Drosophila melanogaster: one gene and its partners. The protein of the gene in region 2 interacts with the protein of the main gene of each other region in a pairwise test. Each region holds a gene or a part of one and is shown on either strand. Other genes may lie near its edges. The genes, in order: fkh, aspr, CG1792 and Cpr35B.

Region 1 (7,546 bases), on a different chromosome or scaffold from region 2:
CCCTATCCCCTATCCGCCGTACCCATTTTCAGTCCAATACAATCCAATACCGTCGACGGCACGACCCTAGCTAAACAACAAAGCGAACTCTTTATGGAACATCTCCAGTCGGCTTGGAGGCTATAAAAAATGTATTAAAGCCAGTCCAGTCGCCCCCACAGGCACACATGTACATACATATAAATAAAATGTGTCGTATGGACATATAGAAAATGGTGACCTTCTCGCTTAATTAAAAGCGACAACTGCTCGTCAAACACGCTCATGCCCGAGCTCTAGATAAGCAATAATTTTAATGTCTTCGGAATGTCCGAGAATCGTAGGACCTGGATCGTAGATTCTTCCAAATGAATCACACCGATTTTAATCAAAAGGTGGTAGTAGTTCGCCAGGGGGAACTGCGTCGGATCAGGCTCTGTTGGGTTATATTGCAGCGATAAGGTCCATTGCAGCGATAGGGAAGGTGCTCGAACTCGGCTCGTAGTGCTCCATGAATATTACTAGAAAGCAAACAGAGGGGAGTCGAGTCAAGTCGGGCAGAAGATATCCACTACCCTTCCCGCTCTTTTTGGCCAGAGGGATCGGGCTGGGTTGTGCTGGACTGAGATGGGTTAGTCAGTGTGTCAAGTCCGGGCGGGAATGGGTCGGTATAGGACGGTATGGGATGGGCTGGGATGGGTCCCATGTCCCATCCTGGTTGTTTGTTTACCTTCTTGTTCCGTTGCAATTTATGAGTGCACGGCGATAAGGGTTTATCGTGGCATGGTAGTGGTGGAAAACTGCACTCTGCATCTGAGTGACGGCGATAAGATAGCGACTCCTGGAACTACTCAGCTCAGCTATCGGTCGTTCAATTCGAATTCGCTGCATTGATAGCGTCGATAGCGTCGATGGAGATAGTCAGCCATCCGGGCGGCCCAATCAATATATAAATGATTGTTGGAGGTCAGTTGCTTGAGTCAACAAAGGTTGGGAAATGAAAACTAATTTATGGTACTTTTTTTCCTTTTTCTTGTATTTCAAACATTAAAATAGTCGATTTTGGTTGTCGTTGACGTTGTGTTTGTTTTGCATGATTTATAATAATATTAATTTTACTAGCTTTAGAGTTGGATTTTAATTCTTGCGTTGACATTTATTGAATTTTATATTGTGTATTTTACAATAATTTTCATTTGTTTCTGTGTCTGTCAGTGTCAGTATGTGTGTGTGTGTGTGGGTGTTTATATTTAGACTATTTTTTATCAAGTTTAATTAATTAGCTTAGCTCAATGTAAAAATGGGTCTTTGTTTTGTGTTTGCAATTGGTTTTTTATTTTTCATTACGCACAATATAACTAATATTAAAAATTATTGAATAATAATTGCAGTTTCGCTTTTTATGTGATTTTTTTTCATTTTTGTTTTTTGCTTTCATTATTTATGCTAATTAAACGTTAAATGCTATACAGTATTTATATTTATACTATGTTTACTTTCAAGTGGTGTGGCATAATTTCATACAATTTGATTAATTCTCGAGTTAGTTAAAAATTGGTTGCTTGCAATGGGTCCTTAGTTAAATTGGGTTTCTTGGGGAGGGGGTTGCTTAAATGTATCTATTTATAGATTATTTACAAAATGCCTTAATCTAACGAATTCGTACAACAACAGAAGACACATAATGTAAATGAAATGCGGGATTTTGCGATACATGGGCGTATATCGATGCGCGTATATATAAATGGAAATTTGTTAAATTATTCAGTTAAAACGTGTCGTTTTCTTATGCATGGCCAGATTTTGTTGCTTAGATAGTTGAAGATTCTTAGGGTTTTGCTGGACTGCTCAATATGATGATTTCGGTTTTAGATTTCTTTTTGGTTTTGATCTTTTGCGATTCGAATTCGATTGCGATTGCCTTTGGATAAAGGGTTTAGTATTTGTATCTCTCTTTTTGGGACTGTTTCATTTGGGGCTTTGTTTTATGAAAGAACATTACACACGATCCCTTCTTTACATCTCCTCTCCTCAATCTTCTCCTTAATCGGATACATTTAAAATGTGATTTCAAATTTTCAGTTATAACCGCTTTGATTGTTATTGCTTGTTTCGAAACAACGAAAACAAATGGCACGGAATTATTATTTTGTATTTGTATTAGCAAAACGTAAAATTGTTAACAAAAGTTCTGCTGCACTTACAACTACATCACGGTTTCTTTCGCTCCTCCTCCTCCTGCTCTATGTCGATTTAATAACCCCCCGGAACAGAATCTATATAATCTACAATATATAGTACTGGAACTGAACAACACAAAAGGCAGCGCTCTCGATCGGCTCTTCATAGGTATCTCTATATGTACAAGTGCGAGTTGCGGCCCAAGACTCACGTGCTCAAAGGATGAGGATGCGAGTGCGGATGCGGATGCGGCCAGGTGCTAAAAGCCACCGCCACTGCACTCGCTAATTGGCAGGCCCGCTACAAAGCCGCTGCCTGTGGAGATCGGGATCTATAGCTATAGCTACAGAAGATTCTGCAGAGCGGCGGCTCCATTGAAAGCCAGGCCGTGATTCCAATTTCTGTAGCCTGCCGCCGCGGCATACTGCTGATAGTTGTTGTACAACTGCTGCTGGGCGGCCTGATGCTGCTGCAGTTGCTCCTCGCTCAGATCGCTGGTGATGTTCGATGAGTCCTCCTGCAGTTCCTGCAGCAGTTGTTGCTGCTGCTGGTGGTGTTGCTGCTGCGCCGCCGCCTGCTGTTGTTGCTGCTGCTGGTGCTGCTGTTGCAGCTTCTGTGAGTAGTTAGAGCCCGATCCTGAACCCGATCCTGACCCAGATCCCGAGGCCGAAGCCGATCCCGCCTTGCCGCTGGCCTTTGCTGATGTTGCTGGTGTATTGGAAGCGGATGTCAGTTGCTGCGCCGACTGCTGCATCTGCTGCTGCTGCTGATGCAGCTGGTGCTGCTGCTGTTGCTGCTGGTGTTGCTGGTGCTGCTGCTGCAAGTGCTGTTGCTGCTGCGAGCGCAGCATCTGCTCCGCGCGTCCTTAAGCCAGCGGGTATTGGTGATGTCACAAGCTCGTGGTTCCGGCGGGCGCATGGTAGCCAAGACTCTGGTAGTAGGAGTCCTGGCCTAAGGCAGCGTGTGAGTTGGTCAGCGGACTGAGGGCGTTGTAGCCGGCGTACTGGCTCATGTCGTACATCTTGATGTCCGCCTTGGACTCCGTGGGCAGCAGGCGGTTGATGGAGAACGGATGGCTGGAGGGCGTGTAGCCAGAGGGCTCCTGCTTCAGCGGATGCATCGACGAGTGGTAGTCGGTGATCAGCGACGGATGGCACCGATTGGCCATCATCGCCGACAGCTCCTCCTGCTGCAACTGGTGGTGCTGATGGTGGTGATGTGTGGGCACATGCTGCGGCTGCTGGCTGAGGCACAGTTCGGCATTGGCATGCAACATGGCCAGGGCCTCCGCGTCCTTGCTGTGCGCTGCACTCAGGACATTTACGCCGGCGATCGATGCTCCGCCCGCCTCCTTGTGGTGCTGATGATGGTCCAGCCGGCTGTGGTGGTGGTGGTGCATGTGGTGCGAGTCCTCGTGATCCTTCTTGCCCGGACTGGTGGCCTCCAGGCTGCTGTGCGACGGACTCTTGTGCAGCTGCCTAATGGCCTCCTTCTTCTCGTCCTTGAAACGCTTCTGTCGCCGCAAATAGCACCCGTTCTCGAACATATTCCCCGAATCCGGATGCAGAGTCCAAAACGATCCCTTTCCTGGCTTGTCCGGCGTCCTGGGAATCTTTACGAAGCAATCGTTGAAGCTCAGCGAATGTCGAATGGAGTTCTGCCAGCGCTGCTGATTCTGCCTGTAGAACGGAAACAGATCCATGATGAACTGATAGATCTCCGAGAGCGTCAACATTCTGGTGGGGTTATTCTGAATGGCCATGGTGATCAGTGAGATGTAGCTGTATGGCGGCTTGGCATGCGTGTAGCTCCTTCTGTACGTAGTTGGTTTGTCCACCCGCGATCTGCCTAGGGAATTCGGCGATCCCGTCTCCATTTCCCGGGATCCCGGCGGCATGGCGCCATAGGTGCCGCTCAATCCCGCCGCCGACATACTCGCTGCCGACATGGCCATGCAGCCACCCATGTTCCCGAGCGGTGATCCCATGCTGGCGTAGCTCATCGAGCTGGGGGTCATGCAGTTGCCGCCCATTGAGTTCATGGCCGCCGCACCCATGCTGCCGTTCATGCTGGCATTCATGCTGGCGCTCATACTGGCACTCATGCTGGCGCTCATGCTGGCGACCGCCGCCGCCGAGTCCAGGACGCTGGAGCTGAATGTGGCCGCCGCCTGAGGGGAAACCGATGACATGCCACCCACCGGCAGGCCCATGCTGTTCATTGTGTAGGCGGATCGAGCCAGGGGACTCATGCTGCCGCCGTTGCTCGTCGGATTCGGGTTGTTATTGCTGGGCGGTGGGGGCCCACCGCCTCCTCCTCCGCCGCCGCCTCCACCGCCGCCCGACGGAGGACCACCGCCACCCGAGCTGGCCATGCTCACCGGAGCACTGCTCGGAGGCGGCTCCGCGTAGAGCTTCTGCATGATGTCAATGGTGGTCTGGTGGGGGCTACCCTTCAGAAAGCTGTTCAATAGTTGCGCCGTTATGTTGCCGGCTTTCGGAGGCGCTGCCCTCTGGTGGATCGATGGAAAAGGCAACGCGTTCTGCAACGCGTTAGTTAAAACGAAAATCAAAAAGGAGGTCTTTAAAACGTGGCTTTACTCTGATATATTGTATATCAACTGTGATTTCAGTGCACTATCACTGCTTCAATCGGTTTGCATATATCTGGCATTTTATCGAGAGCACTTCGGCACTTGTCACTTGTTGGCTGGAAGGTTCTGATTCCGTTTGCGATTCTGATTCTGATTCTAAGCTTTGTTTGTAAACACACACCGTGGTTTAATTATTTGTGCGGGATAATCATATAAAATATATATTTATTTTCTGTTATGATTCGATTCTTTTTGTATTTTCTTTGTATTTTTGTATGGGGATTTTTGTTGTCTGCCGCACCGAGCGGCCACAAAACACCGACGCACGAACGTGAATATCTAGCTGGCTGTTGGCCACTGAAGTCTGAAGCTGGGAGTTGTGCTGTGCTGTGCTGCTGCTTTTGCTGCTGCTGCTTTTGCTTTTGCTGCTTTGGCTGATGCTGCTGTTGCCGTTGCCGCTTTAGCTGCTGGTCCGCTCGAGTGTCTCTTTGGCTTGAGCTCTTGAATGTGACTGTTTGCAGAGGGGAACGCTTGTCTACTATTTGGCTTGCGCTTGCTGCCAACAAATATTGTTCGAGCCGCGCTCAAGTGCCTCGGCCGACGTCGGCGTCGACAGCGGCGGCAGCGGCAGCAGCGACGCGCCCGGGCAGCACCAGCTCCGACTCGTTCTCGCCAATGGCCCGGCGGTATAGTGCGTCTCACCACCACCCTGGCGGAGTTACCAATGACAGGCGGCGGTTCTCTTACGTACACAGTGGTGCTGCGGCGCAAGCGCATTGGTCGGTTGGCCTCTTGTATCAACAGAGCAGGGCCGGTTGCCAGGCAACTGGCCATTGGGGGGGCGTGGCCAGGCCGCAGTCAGCAACGCCCTCCACTCACACACCCTCAGCGGTGCGGACAGAGATACACGGGCAGAGATACCGGATACGCATACAGCTGCAGATACATTCGCAGTGGCCTAGCCTAATGCTGAGCGACGCCATGTTACAGTTAACGATTTTCCCTAATGCGATCAATAATCGCTCGCTCTCCTTCTCGCCGTAGCGTGCTATCAGAAAATAAAAAGAAAAAATGTGGAAAAAAAACCATTAAGACGGGTTCTGGAGACCGAATCTCTGGGGAGACTGAGAATGCGACGACGCTCTGTTTTTCGAGAGAAACAAAAAGACCGAGTGTTTTGGCCTGGCCTGGCCTGGCTTGGCTTGGCTGGGTTTGGCTCCCAAACAAGACATTTAATAATATCTGTGTGTGTTTTTTCAGCCAGTTTTTTTTCGTATCCGTACCGCTTTTTCCCTTTTGAGGTTAAGGTATGCCAATGTCACTCTCATTCATTCCCATTCGCATTCGTGGCGAGGCATCGCGAGCGGCAGCAGCAAATCATCAGAACAGCGGCGCAGTTCACCTTTTTGGCAAGTCATTGCGAAAGTGACCCAGTTCTGCATCTGGCCAGCATCAGCCGCATCTCATCCGAGCATCCCACTGCATCCTACCTAAGATACCCGAAACATAAGCATCCACAGTTCATTGATAGCGCGTGCTGGCAGCTACTTCCTGGTATCCTGGCAATTTATCCACGTTTATGGTCCCGGATAAAACGCATTCTAATTTCGGGCCATAAACCATAGACGCCTTTCCTATTCCGCTTAACCCTTTCGCTTGGCCAAGTGTATCTGCGAGTGCCTGTGTGTGTGTGTCCGTGTGCGAGTGTGTGCCAATCCGTGAGAGTGTATGTGTGTGAGCCAGGCTCATTATTGCGTGTCATAAAAGGACGATTGTCTCGTTTCTCAATGAATGTTTTGCTCAATTAAGATCTACCTGAGCGGGAGGAAAAGCGGGGAATTTCCGCATTACTTTTCCATTTGTCAATGCAGCAGTTCTTTCTCCTCTCACTTTTTTGTAGCCTTCATCTAGGCGCTGAGACATTGAATTTTTGAAATTATCAATGAAATGTAATGAAACATTTCGCTTGTGGGAGAAATCACATTTTTATGATCGCCCCATTTCCGAGTAATTATAATGACTAATGACTTATGTCATATAGAGCCGTTTCCCCTTCACAAAAGCACTACTGAGTAATATTTTTATCATATTCAAGATTATCTTCAAATTGTTTGAATAATTGTTTACAATAACCATGGGTTAGATAAGATTGAGAGATAAGCGAAACTGAATCAGGAAAAAATCTTTCGCTCAACAATGGTATTCATAATATTTAACCTGTTTAACATTGTTTGGCTTGCCACTCGGATATCTATATCCCATCGTGATGATCATTAAACATCAAACACTTTCGGTGACTGAGCACATATGTACTCAAATCCTTATGTGCACTTCTAATAACCGTAATGTGCTTAAATATTTAATATTTTTATTGTATTTCACAGGCAATTCAAGTGGCTTTGGCTCATTAATGTTTGCCGTGTGGGCGTTGGGTTGGTAGGTATTTTTGTTGTTCAGAGCGCATCAAATGTGTGCTTTTTTGGCGTAGACTCTCTGCAAATAGTAATGCCAGGCAGTCCAAAAATGTGTACTTATTTACCTTTAGTCATTTATCTATTTATTTATTTGCTTTAAAAGCGCGCCACTGTAGGTCGGATTCACATGGCGATTTACATTGCGATTCGGATTCAGATTGGCTGCCTTTTTGATACAGTCGGATGTATTCGGCTCTAAGCCATGGTCAAACTTTTTAATTAGTTTCAATTGTTGGCGCCCAACGCATCCCCAAATGGTTATTTATGGAAAATATTTGCTTTACTACTTTTTTGCCGCTTTGTTTTGATTTTCGTTGAT
Region 2 (8,522 bases):
GTCGCAAAGGTCCTCCTTGGTGAAGGGACGGCAGCGCACGAAGGGATCGCCGGTCATGTCGCGGGGGCAGCTGCAGACGGGTGTGAGGCCGCGCAGGTTGCAGTCGGCGCCGATGCCGCAGGCACCCTCGCAGGTGTTCTTGCAGATGCCGTAGAAGCAGGCGGGTCGCCCGGCCGGGCAGTCGGCATCGCCATAGCACTCCGGTCGGCACTCCGTGTACGGGCTGCCAATGTAGCCCTTGGGGCACTCGCAGACAGCCCGGTGATTGCTGACCGTTCGGCAGGTGGCGCCAGTGCCGCACTGCCCGCATGCCGGCACGCACTTGAAGTTGCTGGAGCACATGTCCCGGCTGCTGCAGTCGCCATCGTGATCGCACTCGTGGCGACAGCCGCTCAGCGGATTGCCCACATAGCCGTGAACGCATGAGCAGGTGGGCACGCCGTTGATGATCTCGCACTTGGTGTTAACGCCGCACGGACTGGGATGGCACTGCTCCTCTGCGGAATGGAATGAGAGATTAATGTTTGGAAATGGACGACACACAGCAGTGTCGTAGACTCGCCCACAAAGCTGTCTGCAACAGTATATTTTGAATGCGGCATGGCGATGATGGATTCATTTCCATCTGAGCAAGACTTTTCAGTAAGTAAGTGCTATATTGCCAAGTTCAAGTGTCGATTTAGTTGAGTCTATGAAAAGTTCAATCGGCCGACGAAGGAAGTTGTTTTCCACCCGACCTTTCACCTTTCACCTTTCACCATCGTTGGGGGTTGTGGCCCCTGTCAACATCCGCTGTTGCTGCCCCATTTTTGATTTATGCCGGGTCATGTGACTTGTGTTCCGGTCAAATCGGGAAAATACCTCCAATGGGGCCAATAATTGGGGGCCGGCCACTCAAAGTGGGCAAATAGAAAATCATATTCAAATAGCCGGGCTCATTTATGCGCATATTTTTGGTTTTTACCCCATATTTTCTTTTATTTTTGCACCAATTGTTGTTACTCGTCGTTCAAGATGATGATGATGATGATGGTGATGATGATGATGATGATGATGGTGGTGGTGCGGTGAGCAAGTCAAGAAATTAGTTTGCGTTGTTTTCCGTTCCGATGGCAAAAGTTTCGCCATTATCAGGCCTTTTCTCTTACATTTCCTTTTGACATAATTTGCGAGAAGCAGCAACTTTTCCGCGCCGGGAAAATGTATTGTAATGAAATGTGGAGTTCGGTTTTGAAAATCGATTGCAAAATGTCTTGCAACGAAAGTCGGAAATGCTCGTCGTCGACATTAAATCGATGTATTGGTAGATTTTCTTCGAAATATATAGCTAACCAAATAGTTATTTTTTATTATCGGCGTGGCAAACGCATTGTGGACCTTTAAATGTTAGCAATTCATTTGTATTCCTGCACGAAATCTTTAAGGCAAATGTCCGTGAATGTTTTCAGTTGGTCTGCAACACGCCCAAAGGGAATCGCAACTGCTTCGGCTCCCCAGGAACATGAATGGAAAAGAATCCGGTGTCCTTGGGGCGGCAGCAGGGAACATCATGGAGCAGGGAATCCGAGCTACTTCCATTCCCCGCAGACTGTTCGTTTGCAATTATTGTTTCCAAGTCAGTTGCTAATTGGAAATGCAAATAAATATTGTATTTCAATGGGAATTGCACGCAAACGGAGGCCGGAGTAAAGGCAACACAGAAAGGGATTTAAGTGAAATCAAGAATATATGTATATCGGAGGACCAGTTAAGATGCAGAAATCGGAAAAGGGGCGAGAAATGCCAGGCCCTTGGACTCGACACGAATCCCGAATGAGCAACCAACGTAGAGATGCAATTTATTGACGCCGACTCTTGGACGGACAGCAATTGAAATTGGTTTTCAACTGACTTTATTTTAAAGAAATTCAAGCCAAAGATAATATTTAGCAGCTCAATATTGGCGTTAAAAGTTAAGGAATATAATAGATTCGTTGAGGTAGAAGACCCCCCCCCCCCCCCCACCCATCAAATAATTTCCTGGTTAGAAGTTCTAGTTAATTTGCCTTTTGAACATGTGCGTTTGTCCGTTCGTATAAAAGCCAGAATGTTGGTAATAAACAAGCAGGTCCTAGTGACATTTACACCGCTCAACTTTCACGGTCACAATTTAGAAAAAAGCTTTCAATTATGTGTTAATTTTAATATTTATAGTTAAGAAATTCCCAGCAGGAATTATTTCAACTAATGACGGAACCTGCGCTTAGCCACTATTTATGGCAAGTTCTGAATATGAAGTGTTTGGAAATGTTACTATTCCCATTTAGAACGCTTAAATATTTAAGCCGATCAAATTACGTTCAGTGTGCTTCAGTTTGTCGTTCTAAAGATGATATTTTTCAATCAGTTTCTTGCAGTGTAGCCCCCGGGTGGATCAAGTTGTCTTCTTCCAGCGAAATTCCCAAGCCACTCGGCCGACCTGTGCTACCTGAATGGTAGCTGGCCGACCTGCGCAGCTTATGACCATAATCGGATGTTGACTGGTGCCTAACCGGGGCCACCTTTCGGTTCCGTCGGATTCCAGCTCTACTAGGCTCGACTACGGACACTCGTTGGCCTTGAGAGCTCGCCCACTGCGTCCTTGATCTTGACAATTGCGAAGCGAAATGCTATGCTAATTACCATAAAATTACAAAGGCCCCAAGTGTTGGGCGTTGGCCGTTGGCTTTGGATTATTATTATTATTATTATAATTCTCATTATCATCGAGTGCAAAATGTTATGCAAGCAAGGTAAACCCACATGCTGTCCAGAGGCCCAGCCCCCTGTTTTTGTCAATACACTAGATTTGACCAAATTTGGCAATACCACTTGGATTTGCGACGTCATCTTGCCACTTATCTAGCACCTCATTGTGGAGAAGGGATTCGCGAGTGGGCTAATTAATCGATGTACCTATGTCAATCCATGTCTATATCTATGCATTTCCGGAACAATCAGTCGTATGTCCACTTTGCATTAATGCAAAAAAAAAATAATAATAATAAATAAAACATAATAAACAACATGAGTTGTTTACAAATTGTTTACAAATATGTCGCGATCTATGTGTTCATTTAGTTTGAAATTTTTCTATTAGACAAGGCATTGCATTATGCCAATTTTCAAGTGCATTCGTGTATTGCCAATAATTTTAACACTGCAAACACTCCGCTCCTCTTGGTTCATCTCATTGTTATGTAACTCAGTAAAGAAACCTGTTTGCCCTTGATTTAATTCAAGTGGTCAAGGCTTATTTCTCGGCTTGGTTTTCACATCCACACTATGTATGTACATACATGTATGATCACTTGCATCTTTTAGCTAATTAAAATTTTAACCAGCTGATGATTGTAATTCATATATTATTAGTACATAATCAATGTTAAGATGTGCGCGTTAAGAACTAAGAGCTTTTAATTGATTCGATCATCTACTAGTACATATATCTTTAAATTGTGCATTTCTCAGATTTCCCAATTAATTAATTTATTTAATCGTGAAACGAAATACACAATCGAAGCGGATTGATTTCAACAGCTCCCAGTTGAGCGAACGACTCTTATGACACCCGGCATTTTAATCGATTTTGAGCTCTGCCACGCCTACCCCGCGGCATGTGGGCGGTAGTGGAGTGGTCAGGCACTTACCCGGATCGTTGAGGTGGCAGGCGTGGTATGGGTCGCCATTGTAGCCGGCGGGGCAGCTGCACACGGCCACGTGGTTGCGGGCCTGGAAAGAGCAAGCGGAGGTGGCGTAGAGTGCCGATGGTCAGAATGCGAGGGAATGCGCCAGAAGTTGGCCGTGGAGGAGTGTTGGCGACATAAAAGTCCCACTTACGTCACAATTGGAGCCAATGCCACAGGCACCCACGCAGGGATTAACGCAGCGATTGTCCTTGCACTGCAGGTTGTCGCGACAGTCGACGTTGTCCAGGCACTCGCCGCGATTGCAGTGGGTGAGCGGATTACCGCTGAATCCGGGCGGGCACGAGCAGACGGGCCGTCCTCCGGAGGCCTCCTGGCACACGGCGTTCACGCCGCACGGGCTACCGCTGCATCCGCTCGCGTAGGACTGCGCTGTGTGGGCGAGAGGAGAGGAGAGAGGCACAGGCGGTGAGGTGATGCACTGGTGCGCAGGTGAACTTGTGTCTCAATCTAATCTCTAATGCTACGCTACTACGAGTATGGTATGTACATACATATGTATACTATACTATACTATACTATACTATACTATATACTATACTATATATATATAGGGGTTAGGGGTTAGGGGTTAGCTACTGCAGACACATTTGGGGCGCGGGGTCAATGGTCAAGGATCAAGGGTCAAGGGTCAGGGGTCAGGGTGCTGGCGGCGGTGCTCTCCTCCTATGTACATCGTGCTGGTGCGGTAAGACTACGAATACGGATACTGATAGGCAAGCTGTGTAAATACCACGTGTGTAGACCGGATCTCTATAGACAACCCGCTGCAGGGATCGCCCATCGCCGTAGGTGTAGTAAGTGCGGTACGTGCAGTTCACGCAGCGCTTCCCCAGCTTTTTACCTGCGGCCAGTTGGGGCAAGGACGCGATGGCCACCGCCACCAGGGCCACGACCAGGAGCTGCTGCTGCAAGAGAAGGATCAGCTGCGATTAGTGCTGCTATCACTTGAATTTAAATTCAATACGATACCGATCTAAGATGAATATAATATTTGAATATATTTGAATACTAACTTGAAGTAACTCCAAATGGAGTGCATTCACTAGTTCTCATTAGTAACGAAACTAAATAAAAGACAACGGTAATACAAAGATAAATGTCATATTCTGCGTCAATCGTAGAGCCAGTCGAATGAAATGAGTTTGAACTGGATTGGGATTCATTCACTAAAGTATTCGATATGAACAAACATCTCAATCGAGAAGCGAGTATCACGCCCCCTTTGCCGGTTTATGTGTCATAATCGCATTCGAGTTCTGAAAAAGCCCAATAAACATGACTAACTCGATGATCCGCTGTTTGGTAGCAAACATTGGCTTGGACTTGGACTCTCAGTGGTCAGTGGGATTCTGGTGGCACCATGTTTGGGCTAACTGGGCATGGAGATGAGACGAGACGAGACGAGACGATCGAGATGATGATATGGCTTCGCTCTCAAGGTGGCGATCATTGTTGGCGAATGACACATGGGTGATAAACTTGTTGTCCGCTTCTTTGGAAGCTCAATTCGGGCTAAAAACAATTATTCAAATATCGGCATACAATAAGAATATGCAAATGGGGGTCGGCTGCCTTTTCGAATTACTCTGAATGACCAATATGGTAGTCCATGTTCGTATCAACTAAGTTGTCGATCATCGCGTAAATGGCACGGATGGATCCACCGAGGGAGGAAATTGGATTTTTTTCTTAAATCACACATCTTGCAGGGTGATTTATAATCTGATTACATTGCGCAAGGGAAGTGAAGTGAATCAGAGCCATATTTGTTATATTATATATGTACATACATATGTACATTTAAATAATTGCTTTTGGAAGGGCGAGAACTAAATAGTCAACTATATAATCTGTTCAATCTTGAATTAGTTAAATAAAACGTAAAACCTGTCAGAGTTTAGATTAAATTAATGCTTTCTAAATTTAAATAATGAGCAAGAAAATGTTAAGTGCTCAACATAAGTAGGTAAAAAGGTAAACAATTCAAATCTATTGGACTTTTTACTCTTCTCGTAATGGCAATTAAAATAACAAGCTATGCTAAAGTGCTAGAAACTAATTGGTTTGTGTTTTTGGCTTTGTGCACAAACAAATGAATAATGGGCTTGATGTTTACTTGGGCAGCTTAAAAAGCGTTGAGTGATTGATCATCGCCAAAAAAAACAAAAAAATGGGCAGATAAAAGGCAGATCGAAGACACTCAAAAGAATAAACCGATCGTGGGCTTCAGAAACATTACGAGTATGTGGGAATATTTCTTGGTTCATTCGATGTATTTGCAAATCCATTCACCACTATTCATCTAGCCGGAAGTAAATAGCAAATAGCAAAGTTAAGTCCTTACATTGTGAAATGAATATTTTTTTTGTCGTGTTTGCTTTAAGTACATCAATATTCCATTCACGTATCATTTACTGAATGCATATTTTATGTATTGCCTTTGTGCGTAATTTTTTCACTTAAGTTTTCGCGGTGAAGAAAATAAACAGCAAATAAATGTGCAAGTTTAAATCTATATACTTATTCGTGATTCAGATTCTTTCCTTAAATCGAACCCATTTTTATTACTTTTATAAAATTGTTTATAAATTATCCATCGTTGATAGATTGCTTCAGTTTAGATGATTTAAAAAAAAAAAAGGATATATTCCTTAACACACGTTTATATATACATATTGATTTTGGTTATTCCCACTGCAACTCACCATTTTCGGGGTTCAGTTCTTAGAAAACACTAGCACTACAGCAGATAAAGAACGTAAAATAAAAAACAAAACAAAAAGTGTCAACTGATAAATGGTTGCGATTTCCCACTTGGCACGCTTCGCTTTCAACTGAGTCGGCTTCTAGACGAGCTTGGGCTATTTATAAGGCCGCAACTCTTAACTTGGCCGAGAAACAGCTGAGCGACGTTGGCGTCATCTCTCAGCTGCTCTGCTCTGCTCTGATCTGCTCACCTTCCCTTCCCGAATTCCCCTCTACCCCGCATCCACAACCCTTCCACTTACACAGAGAAAAAACTATAGTATAGCTTGATATTAAAGATTTGTAAAGTAAATTATCTCTCCTCAGGTAGTAGCATCCAATAGTTGTTGTAATTTTAACAAAATAAAGATCGGAATTTACCAAATTCATTAGTTTTATAACTAATTTACCATTATGTCTGCATAAGTTCAACTTGCTAAACTAGAAACATTTCGAGTAACGAAAGCAGTAGATCAAATTGATGAAGTAGTTAATTTAGTTATATATATTTGTTCAGCCTGTCAGTTGGAAAACTATTTTTCCCAATGCACCAGCATTCTGTCTCATAACTCTGTTTGACAAGCTTGTTTTGCTGTTTGTTGACTTTGTATATTGTGCTGCTCGATTTTAGCTAAAATCATTTCAGTCCAAATCGCTTCTCAGACTGAGTCATTCGTACACACATACATATACATATATATACATATATTTGCCTGGGCATCGGGCTATTTATATACGCGTACTTGACGCGACTTTGCTTCGGATTGTTTTGGTCATGCCTTTGCTATGATGGCTCGATTTCTGCGTGGGCCGCTGCATCCAAGTGCCGTGGGTCGAACTTGGCTGGGCTTCCTACTAAACACGGCTCCGGATCGTAGGCAACTTGGCTGTGAACGAAGAAATTGCCCACTTGACACAATGGGCAGGTCGCTAGTACTAGGCGGTACCTGGTAATATATGTACACACATATTTCTGAAAGCATCCAAAACTAAGCGACTCTTTATCTTTGTAGGATTTAAAAGACAGTTATGTCATTTAAATTTACAAATCTATTATACTATAATTTATACCGATTCTTCAAACAGAATGTATCTTATCCGCACCGGATGCCTATTACTACTAACTGGGGGAAATATTCAATATGGTCATTTCGCTAAGGTTTTTTCTTCTTTCTATTTCTTCTTAATTGGGCATAAGATATATGTAGATAATCGCATTACAAAATTTAATTAATTTCACGAATTTACATATTTTTCAATCTGAAATATGTCGGAAATTGAGGAGAACAAAAAATCGCCCATTTCCGTTCAAATAGTAAGCGAAAAGAGAATATACATAAATGAAAGAAAATAAAATTTGAAAAAAAAAAAAAACTGAGAGGCCGTAAATATTCTTGATTAGCTTGAGGTATTCCGATTCACTCATACCACACAATAAGCCAATTGGGTATTTCATTGAACATCTTCACTAACTCACTCTACCGTTTCCTAAGTCCATTTCAATGGCATTCGAGTTTAAAATATAAGCTTAGCAAGACCGGCTCCACTTTCATTCGATATCAAAAAGAACGGATTAAGAACAAACGAATCTGCACTGGAATCGAGCCAATTAAAACGAGAATCTTGACTTCTGCTGGCTGCGTGGGCATTGGTTAGAATGAATAATAGAGATGGTTTGACCTATAGCAATAAGATAATGACCATTTGCCAATTTGCAATCGACTACCATTTTCAAATGAAATGGCATCATTGAATGGCATCGCTTAAGCTCCGCAAATCGAATCGATATGGGAATATTACAGATTAAACTGCAAATTGAAACGTACGCCAATTGGCCATAATTGAATGAGAATTCACCTGACGACCGATACGGGCACCTGTTCTTTGGGCCAACTTAATTATACCGTCTTGGCCTACAAATCTCTGGGCCAACACTTAGCTTACCATATTTTAGCTGCCTATATTTTGTCTCCTTTCCTTTCCAACAGCCAGTCAAGGTCGCGCGACAGGTTGCCCTGATGGATTGGGTTGTCCGGGATCCTGGATCCC
Region 3 (4,620 bases), on a different chromosome or scaffold from region 2:
GCCTCCTGTATTTGCACAATGATAGGCCCCCAAGATCTTGAGATAAGAACTGCGCCTGCACTGTGAAACAAAAGGTGGTAATTGCACAGCCTGTGATCTGGATGACCTGAGTGAATATCCGAGCTTCGTTTCCGACTCACCTGACTCATCATCCTCATCGCTGCCAGAGCCGACTTCGTCGAGAACCTGGAACTGTCGCAGTTGCTGGTCCATGGGTTCGTTCTGCAGCTCGTTGTCCCTGGTCCGCCGCATTTCCTCGATGGCGCTCAGCGAAAAGCCGGCCACCTTGAGCTCCTGCTCCTCGTCCTCCAGCCGGGGACGCTTGCGGACCTGCCCAGAGTCCGGGCAGTCGGCCAGCGGCTTCTCCGCCATTGTATTGGATGTGTGTGTCTAAAGCGGGAGGGGTTTAGTGCGGACTGATCGGAACTGTCTAGTAATGCTGTCCCGGGGCCAATCTCGCCAATAACCAATACTGAGAGCATCCAACGCCTTGCAATTGATTTCTCATTGGAAGTGCCACATTGGTTAAGCCAGAAGCCCCGCCGGAAAATTCTGCGACTGCACTTTCGCGGATTGTAAACGATGCTACTTGCTGCGTCTTTCGCTATGGATTCTGCCTAATTGTCGGACAAAATCCCAAAGCAAAAGCTGCGCAATTCAAGTACGAAATCGAGATTTTAGAGAGAGGATGTTAGTTGGGAAAAATAACCAAACAAGCGAAACAAACACCACATGCAGTTTTGCGGAAACAGATTGACACTTTTGAATTGGGGTTAGTGATGGTTCCAGGTATTATCCTCCGGAGAAGAACGTTTGGTCTTAGGATCTATTGTAACAGCAGCTCCAAGCACTTTTCTACTGATTTTGCAAGAAATTTTGCAATTTAAAGACGCCCCCTAATTTATTTAGTGCAAGACAGTGTGACCAGGCTCATGACATTTTAAAATGCTGGCTACTCCCCAAGCCGGTAAACAATGTTCGAATTTAGATTTTATTATATTTTAAAACATAAAAATAATGTAACTAAAAATTAGTGCGCAGCCTAAGTAAGGTAATCTCTATTGGCCATTTTGAAAAAATCAGTTTTTATTCAACACAGCCATATTTGAACATATTCCATTTTCGATTAATATTAAGTGCATTGAGTATTAATCCGAATATCAGATCGGGGATCCATTGATTTTTAGTACAGTTTATCCTAAGATCCACTTTTTCCTAGTAAAGCCTCATCCTTAGCCCCTGTCTGCATGCCGTTACTGGCCTTCACGTCCAGTTCCACAGGATTGTCCAGTGCCGCCTGGGCGCTTGAAGTGTGGGCGTGACCTTTTGAGCGATAGTGGGAGGTCAGGTGGGAGCGGCGAACGAAGGAGACTTGGCAGGAGTCGCAGCTGAAAAACAGATAAACAGAGTCAAGGATCCTCAATAAAACTTCAGGTAACTAAGATCTTACTGGAACGCTCGCACTCCGGTGTGACTCAGCATGTGCGTGCGGAGTTTTCCGCTCATGGCAAAGCTTTTATTGCATTCCTTGCACGTGAAGGGCTTGACATTCGTGTGGCGCCTGATGAAATGGAAAGTGGTCAGAAATATGTGAAAAGCATTAGACGTTTCATGAATGGGAACGAGTTCTGTCGTACATGCGTTCGTGCTGGATGCGTCCGCTGGCGTTGCTGTAGGTTGCCTCGCAGTAGCGACACTGAAACAAAGCATTCCCCGCATGCAGTTCTTGGTGGCGCCGCAGAAGCGTAGCAGTGTAGAACTGCTGGGAGCACTGGTCACAGGCAAAGCTCTTTACGCCGGTGTGTCGGAGGAGGTGCAACTTGAAGTTGCTGGGGCAGGTGAAGTGCCGGCCACACTGCTCGCATATGCAATCCCGCTTGCGTCGCTCCCGCTTTAGGGCCACCACTTCGTCCTCGGTGAGTCTGCTCCACTGGGTGCGCGTGGCCTGGCTATTGTCCGCAAACTTAACGGAGGTAAAGACTGTGGGCGTGGTCTTTGTACTTCTGCGGAGCTTCTTCTCCTGCGCAGGAACCTTCACTTGGGGCTGCTCGTTCTGCTCACATATTTCGTACGGCTCTTCCGTCTCTTCCAGCAGGTGTTCCTCGGGTAGAAGGTCTATAACCTCGATCTCGGTGACCTCTTCAGCGTACTGAATCTCCTTCTCCACACCAACTGCGAAGGATTCGATCAATTCCGCGTTCCCCAGGTTGGGACTTTCCTGCAGCGTTTTTTGGGTTCGAATCACACGTTCCCGGAAAGCAATCGCCGTCTGCAGGTCCAATTCGCAGGGTGAGCAAATAAAGGGGGGCAGCTCGTTCCCGGGTCCGCCGAGCAACTACGGATAATCCAGACTTAAGTTTGAAAACACAAAAATAGAAAGGTACTCACAAACAAACCAGTAAGAACCTCGATCTGGTGCAGCATTACGGAATTGGGCTCCTCGAAGAGGTTACTGGGCGTCGAACAGAAAATGAACAGGCCGCAAGTCCGGCAATTACGATTCGGCATTTTTAAACTTATTTATTTAGTAACACTTAAGAAAAAATTAATCAGAAAATTGCTCTGCTTTTCATATTGTTGCTCCTTTGGCAATGCCAGACTGTTATAGCTAAGAAGATGTGGCACCGCTGCCACAACATCGTAAGGGGGATTCCTGAACAGATCTTAATTTTTAATTCGATTGATTATTTGATATTACTTTATTTGATTACTCGCTTTTCTCCATTCGATTTAAGAGTTCATTTCAAAAATATTACCTTATTTGCAGTGCTTACGCAAAGAGAATTCCTTACAGTGTAGATTCAGGTGGCCACTATATAGCTTGAGCAGCTGATTGATGTAAACAAGCTTACAATAACAAATATTTCCAGATTGTAGAATATTCCTAAGTTTTTCCAAATTTAAGGATGCATCTAAACGAGAACACCAAAATACTGGGTCACAGGGTCATCCTTGTGCCCTACGAAGCGCGCCACGTGCCCAAGTACCACGAGTGGATGAGCAACGAGACCCTGAGGGAGTTGACCGCATCCGAGGAACTGACCTTAGAAGAGGAGCACGAGATGCAAAGGAGTTGGAGGGAGGACAGCGACAAGCTGACCTTCATTGTCCTGGATGCAGAGACTTATTCGCGTGATCAGGATGAGATTGCCGCCATGGTGGGCGACACCAATCTCTTCCTGCACCAAGATCCCGATAGCCAGATACCAACGGCGGAGGCGGAAATCATGATTGCCGAACCTTATGCACGGGGCAAGGGATTCGGCAGGGAAGCCATGCTCCTCATGCTCAAGTACGCCCAATCGCAGCCCCAGCTTAAATTGGATAAATTCGAGGTCAAGATCGACATGGACAACGCTGCATCGCTGCATTTGTTTAAGAGTTTTATGTTCGTGGAGACGCGTCGAGTGGAGATCTTCCACGAGGTCACCCTGGAGCGACCTATCACTCCAGATTGGATCAACTGGCTGGACCAGCAGGTGGATCTGCGTATGCAGTGCTATCAGTGAAAAGAAGCCTTTAGAATCGTAATTTCACGGTCTGTTTATTACACTTATGTTACATCTACTTGTTTCGCTTGCCTTATTTATGCTGCATTTTACATCAAATGAATGTATTTATGGGTGCATCGATGTCTCTTTTTGTTTCGCCCTGTGGCTTGGATGATTGTAATGCTGTGTATGCTTCTCGTTTTTTTTTTTTTTAATTTGTAATTTTCGTGGCAGGAAATGGACAACAAACATTGGCCGCTTGTTCAGTATCTCCGGTGTTGTGTGGGCGTATATTTAAGTATAGTACATAAAACTAGATGCTTAGTGCTTTACAGCTGCATACTTAAGACTTCTAAGTTGTTTCAATTTTTTATAAAAATTATTATCAAATAATCAAAGGCAAACATAATCGTAATCAGAATTGCAAATGAAAAACACAAAATCCGCAAATAGCTGACGGATAGCTGCCGCTAAAACTGAGTCCTTAGCATAGATGTGGGCCAATAATAAATACGGATTAGGCGGCGGCACGCGGGCCATCGATCGGCATGGCGTGCAGCACTTCGTCCAGCAGCTGCAGGGCGCGATGCAGGTGCACCTCGATCCAGCAGGGCGTTTCTTTGATGGACTGGCGTGGGTAGTCAGGTCCCCAGCCCTTGACGAAGCTCAGGCGCAGGATGCATAACCGGCGCAGATCGTCCACGCCAATTCCAGCCGCTGCTGTCATGCCTGGAATACCGCATCAACACATTAGTTTTCCCTAAATCAAACTGATTCCATCTACTTACTCCTTCCGCCGCCGCCCATTTGCTGATTGGCCACTCCGGCCACGGCTGCCGCCTGAGCAGCGGCCGCTGCCTGCGCATTGGTCGCCAGCGAGTGCATCTGCTGGTGGCACTGGCGCAGGTCAAACACCTGCATGAGAAAATGTATGTTAAGCTATCACATTAAACTCTCTTGATTGCACCAACCTTTATGCACGCGGCCGGATAAATCTTGTGCACAGCATCGCCAGGTGTGCGTCCTGCCTCGCGATCCAGATAATAGCTTTGTACGAAAACTGAATTGTCACTAAGACAGCGCAGCCAGACGTCGCCCTCCCCACGCAGATCCAATTGCACGCCCTTGC
Region 4 (3,667 bases), on a different chromosome or scaffold from region 2:
CTTCTCAATATGAAAAAATGAACCTCAATTAATCATTATTTGCAACACAAGAAGCACAAAAATCCGGCAAAAAGTGCCATAATAAATATAAGTAATAGCTGTTGCAATTTTCGCACTATATCTCGTATATTACATAATGTAGAAAGTGCGTGCCGCACAAACACATGGAACGTATAAAAATAATAAATTACACGAAGCGAGAGGCAACTGGAGTCCCGGTCGAGTTGGGTCGAGAAGGGATTTTTGTGGAGCGTTTATTATGCGCACAATAAACGCGGCGGGCGCAGCGGCGACATAAATTAAATTTATGATGCTTATAAATATTCCACAGTCATTTGTAATACAGCAACAAACGAGGGCAACAGGATAACGCAAGGATGTGCCGAGCCTGTCTGTTAAACAAATTGTAGCCAACTCGGGCTGAGGGGAAAGCAACAAACAAACAAAAACACACGCACTCGCGAATGCTAGGGAGATATATATATTTGATTTATGGGTGTGCGCGGATGAATAAAGGACTTTCAACTCCGAAAACCCGATTGCCACCACTAGAAGTGAAAAGAAATCGCCCATAAAAAATCGCCATGTGCACGCATATATACAATATGTGTGTATGCTTGCATAAAAAATACAAGTTTCAGCCACCTGAAATAGCCAGCGAATAGATAGATATGCGGGCTAATTTATGGATAAACTGTACAAATATGATTTATAATAATCGAATTTGTGATATATCTCGCCTGTCGTGTCGCACATTACTGATTCTGACCCAAATTACGGTCTATGCGATTCTCGTCTTGGTGTTGAGTCGCGAATGCCTGCCTATTCAATTCATAAATCACCATATGCTAAATATGCTAAAATTTCACTAATAATTTGAAATGTTTAAATATTCCAAATGTATCGAAAAGAGCTATCTACTGTGATTTGTTTCTTTTTTAAGTTAATAGTTCGTTGGTAAGTATAGAAACTTTATAATTCGATTTTAATAGGTTTTAGGGAAACTTTAGTTACACTTCTTGTCCATTTCAAATCAAATAATTATTTCAATTTTGAAAATATTTGCCTGATTTATTTTGGTATAACAACAATAGGTATTTGGTAAGAGTTCAATAAACGATTGATAAACAATTGTATAGCTTAGGGGTCAACTCAATGGTAACCGTGTCCGTGCTCGAAACCATGATCCTGACCGTGGCTGTGGCCGTGCCCATGTCCGTGTTCCTGTTTCAGCGAATAGCTGTGGGAGCTGCTTCCGTGACCATGTCCATGACCATGACCGTGACCGTGCTCCTCGTGTCCGTGGCCATAGTCGTGTCCGGATTGCGAGGAGTGCTCCTCGAACTCAACGTGTCCGCCCTCGTAGCCGCTGTGTCCATGGCCATGGTGCTCCGCCTGGTGGTGATCGTGGAGCTTCTCGCGATGGACATGAGCCTCGAATCCCTTGTGCTTGTCCGCCGTGTAGTGGACAGTTCGCTTGTGGCCATCGGCATCGATCAACTCATAGTGTCCGGTAACCGTGTGGCCATGTCGTGACTCACTCTGTGACTTCACATCCCCAGTCTTTTGATCCTTGACGCCGTACTGGAAGTCATACTCAGCATGGGAGTCATGGTGATCATCATGCCCGTGATGGTCGTGATGATGACCGTGATGTTCCTCGTGATGATCGTCGTGCGATGTTAGATGCACGGAGGCATGACTGGTGGCTCCACCGTGATGACCGTGGTGTTCGTGGCCATGGAAAGGAGCTGCCCGAATAGCCGCAATGGCCAAGAGGGCAAAGGCGATGAAAAACTAAGGAAAATCGAGGTGAATAATAATTTGCTTTAGTTGTTATCCTTTTTTGCTGAACTCACCTTTTGAGCCATGGTACCGCAGCTAGTTTATGAGTTAATCTTAGCTAGACTACTGTTGTCTGATCTCCAGACCAAAGTGAACTGTACCTAAAACACCTTTAACCCGGCCTTTTTATAGTTGGAATAAATCGAACCCATAGGTTAAACTTTCAAAAAAGAATTGGTAAATCGGTCTTTAGTTACGCCCCAATTTGCAGTTCAAGATCAGGTCGTACTTTCGCCCCAGAGACGTGCAATTATATTCGACTGCCAGTTCGACCCTTTTATTTAGCTGTTGTTTCGAAAATCCGTAAAAAAAAAAAATAAATAAACATAAAAATGAGGAAAGAAAAGAATGGCAGTGTAGTAATTCATTGTAAAATTTACTGTCGCAACAATTGCCAATTTAAAGTGGCATTGTTTATGCATCGCATCGCTGTCGTTGTCGGCCATTATAATCCCCCGGCTTGGAGTCGGATTTGGATTGGGATTGGTATATGTGGGCATAGCCAAGAAACAAACGAGCCAAAAGATTTATATGCCTGACAAACGTCTTCGAGTCGTTGACGTCAATCAGGCCTGACAAAAAGTCATCAGAATTGCAGTTTGCAGTTCTCCCTCGGCAGCGGCTTCTTCATTTTGGCCAGATCGGAAAGGCTTGTCTGCTCTCCTCAATCCCAATTCCAATCCCATCCCATCCCAATCCCAGTCCCGTTTCCCGATCCCGATCGGGATCCCAACTTTCGGTGGACTGTTGTCCCGCCAGTCCGCCTGTCAGCAGTCAATCGGCTACCGTCTGTCAATGTCGTGTCGCCTTCATCAAAGGCCACATTCGAGTTGACAATGGGGATATTGGTTCTGTTTTGTAATCCGCAAAGGATACGGATTTTTGAAAGTGCTCAAGTCTGGCAAGAAGAGCTACGTGGCTGGATGGAACATACTTGAATGCAATTTGCATTTGATGCGTGAATTAGCTGGGAATGTAATAATTGGATGAGAATGTTCAGAAAGAAGGGATAGAAGAACATGGCTAACAGATTCAAGGACCATCAGTTATATGATGCTAAGTATTTATTAGTATTTATTACTATTTTTACTTTTGGTACCCTCTATGTACCCTCAATGCCTTAAATTATGCTCCTTCTGCTGTGTTTAGATAACTTTATGCAACAGTTGTGGTTTAATTGATACTGATTATGGTAACTGGGCTTATGCATCCAAAAGTCGAGATCTGGGAGCAGTGAAAGCCCCCTTCTTTCATCATCGAAATTGCCCTTATGGCAGTGGTCTGAACGTGGCACAGAGCCGCAATGTTGCTGCCGCAAGTTGAGAGTCGCAAGTTGCAAGTTGCCAGTTGCCGTCGCTGTCGACTCATCGTTGTCAGTCAAAGGGGCAAACGAAAGGCTGCGTGGTTTGGTTGGCTGGTTTCGTTGTCAGTGTCATTGCTGGCTGCGTTTTGTGGGCACATTTCGGCTGCTTGATTACTCATGTCAATCAGGCTTCCAAACAGCGACGACATGCTGTCAATCTTTGTGTCATGGCCGCTAAAGTTGTTGGTCGGTTGGTCGGTCGTTTTGGCCGGTTGGCCAGTTGCTGGAGTCGTACAACAAGTACGCTTGATTGCCGGGCCCAAAAGGCTGGGTAAAAGGGTAAATACAGGACAGCAACAACAAAAAAAAATAGGAGGCGATGGGGAAAACCGATGATGCCACAAAGGTGCCCGGTGGCAGTGACAGGACTGTAGTTGTAGCCCATTCGATTGATGTGCATTGTATGTAAATTGGGCGGTCGTTTTCGCATTTGATGCCCTGTCAAGGGATAATCAACAG

Evidence for each region.
Region 1: the proteins of aspr (region 2) and fkh interact in a two-hybrid assay, tested with the Drosophila melanogaster proteins (one large-scale study listed by BioGRID).
Region 3: the proteins of aspr (region 2) and CG1792 interact in a two-hybrid assay, tested with the Drosophila melanogaster proteins (one large-scale study listed by BioGRID).
Region 4: the proteins of aspr (region 2) and Cpr35B interact in a two-hybrid assay, tested with the Drosophila melanogaster proteins (one large-scale study listed by BioGRID).

Annotation. Positions count from the first base shown.
Region 1 is NT_033777.3:28,579,972-28,587,517, forward strand, and holds fkh (fork head), read right to left. Parts: upstream 5,294-7,546; 5' UTR 4,583-5,293; coding exon 3,050-4,582; coding exon of another isoform or gene 2,504-3,049; 3' UTR 1,005-2,503; downstream 1-1,004. UniProt on the Drosophila melanogaster protein: Fkh promotes terminal as opposed to segmental development. In the absence of fkh, this developmental switch does not occur. The nuclear localization of the fkh protein suggest that fkh regulates the transcription of other, subordinate, genes.
Region 2 is NC_004354.4:20,146,173-20,154,694, reverse strand, and holds the start of aspr (asperous), read right to left. Parts: upstream 6,572-8,522; 5' UTR 6,437-6,571; coding exon 6,434-6,436; intron 4,634-6,433; coding exon 4,459-4,633; intron 4,098-4,458; coding exon 3,859-4,097; intron 3,751-3,858; coding exon 3,669-3,750; intron 498-3,668; coding exon 1-497.
Region 3 is NT_033777.3:31,614,290-31,618,909, reverse strand, and holds CG1792 (uncharacterized protein), read right to left. Parts: upstream 2,608-4,620; 5' UTR 2,509-2,607; coding exon 2,389-2,508; intron 2,336-2,388; coding exon 1,638-2,335; intron 1,562-1,637; coding exon 1,451-1,561; intron 1,389-1,450; coding exon 1,199-1,388; 3' UTR 1,073-1,198; downstream 1-1,072. Other genes in the region: pasha (partner of drosha), read right to left, coding at 141-372; Mnat9 (microtubule-associated Nat9), read left to right, coding at 2,907-3,509; Med (medea), read right to left, coding at 4,009-4,220, 4,280-4,406, 4,463-4,620.
Region 4 is NT_033779.5:14,423,261-14,426,927, forward strand, and holds Cpr35B (cuticular protein 35B), read right to left. Parts: upstream 1,930-3,667; 5' UTR 1,872-1,929; coding exon 1,860-1,871; intron 1,798-1,859; coding exon 1,153-1,797; 3' UTR 1,055-1,152; downstream 1-1,054.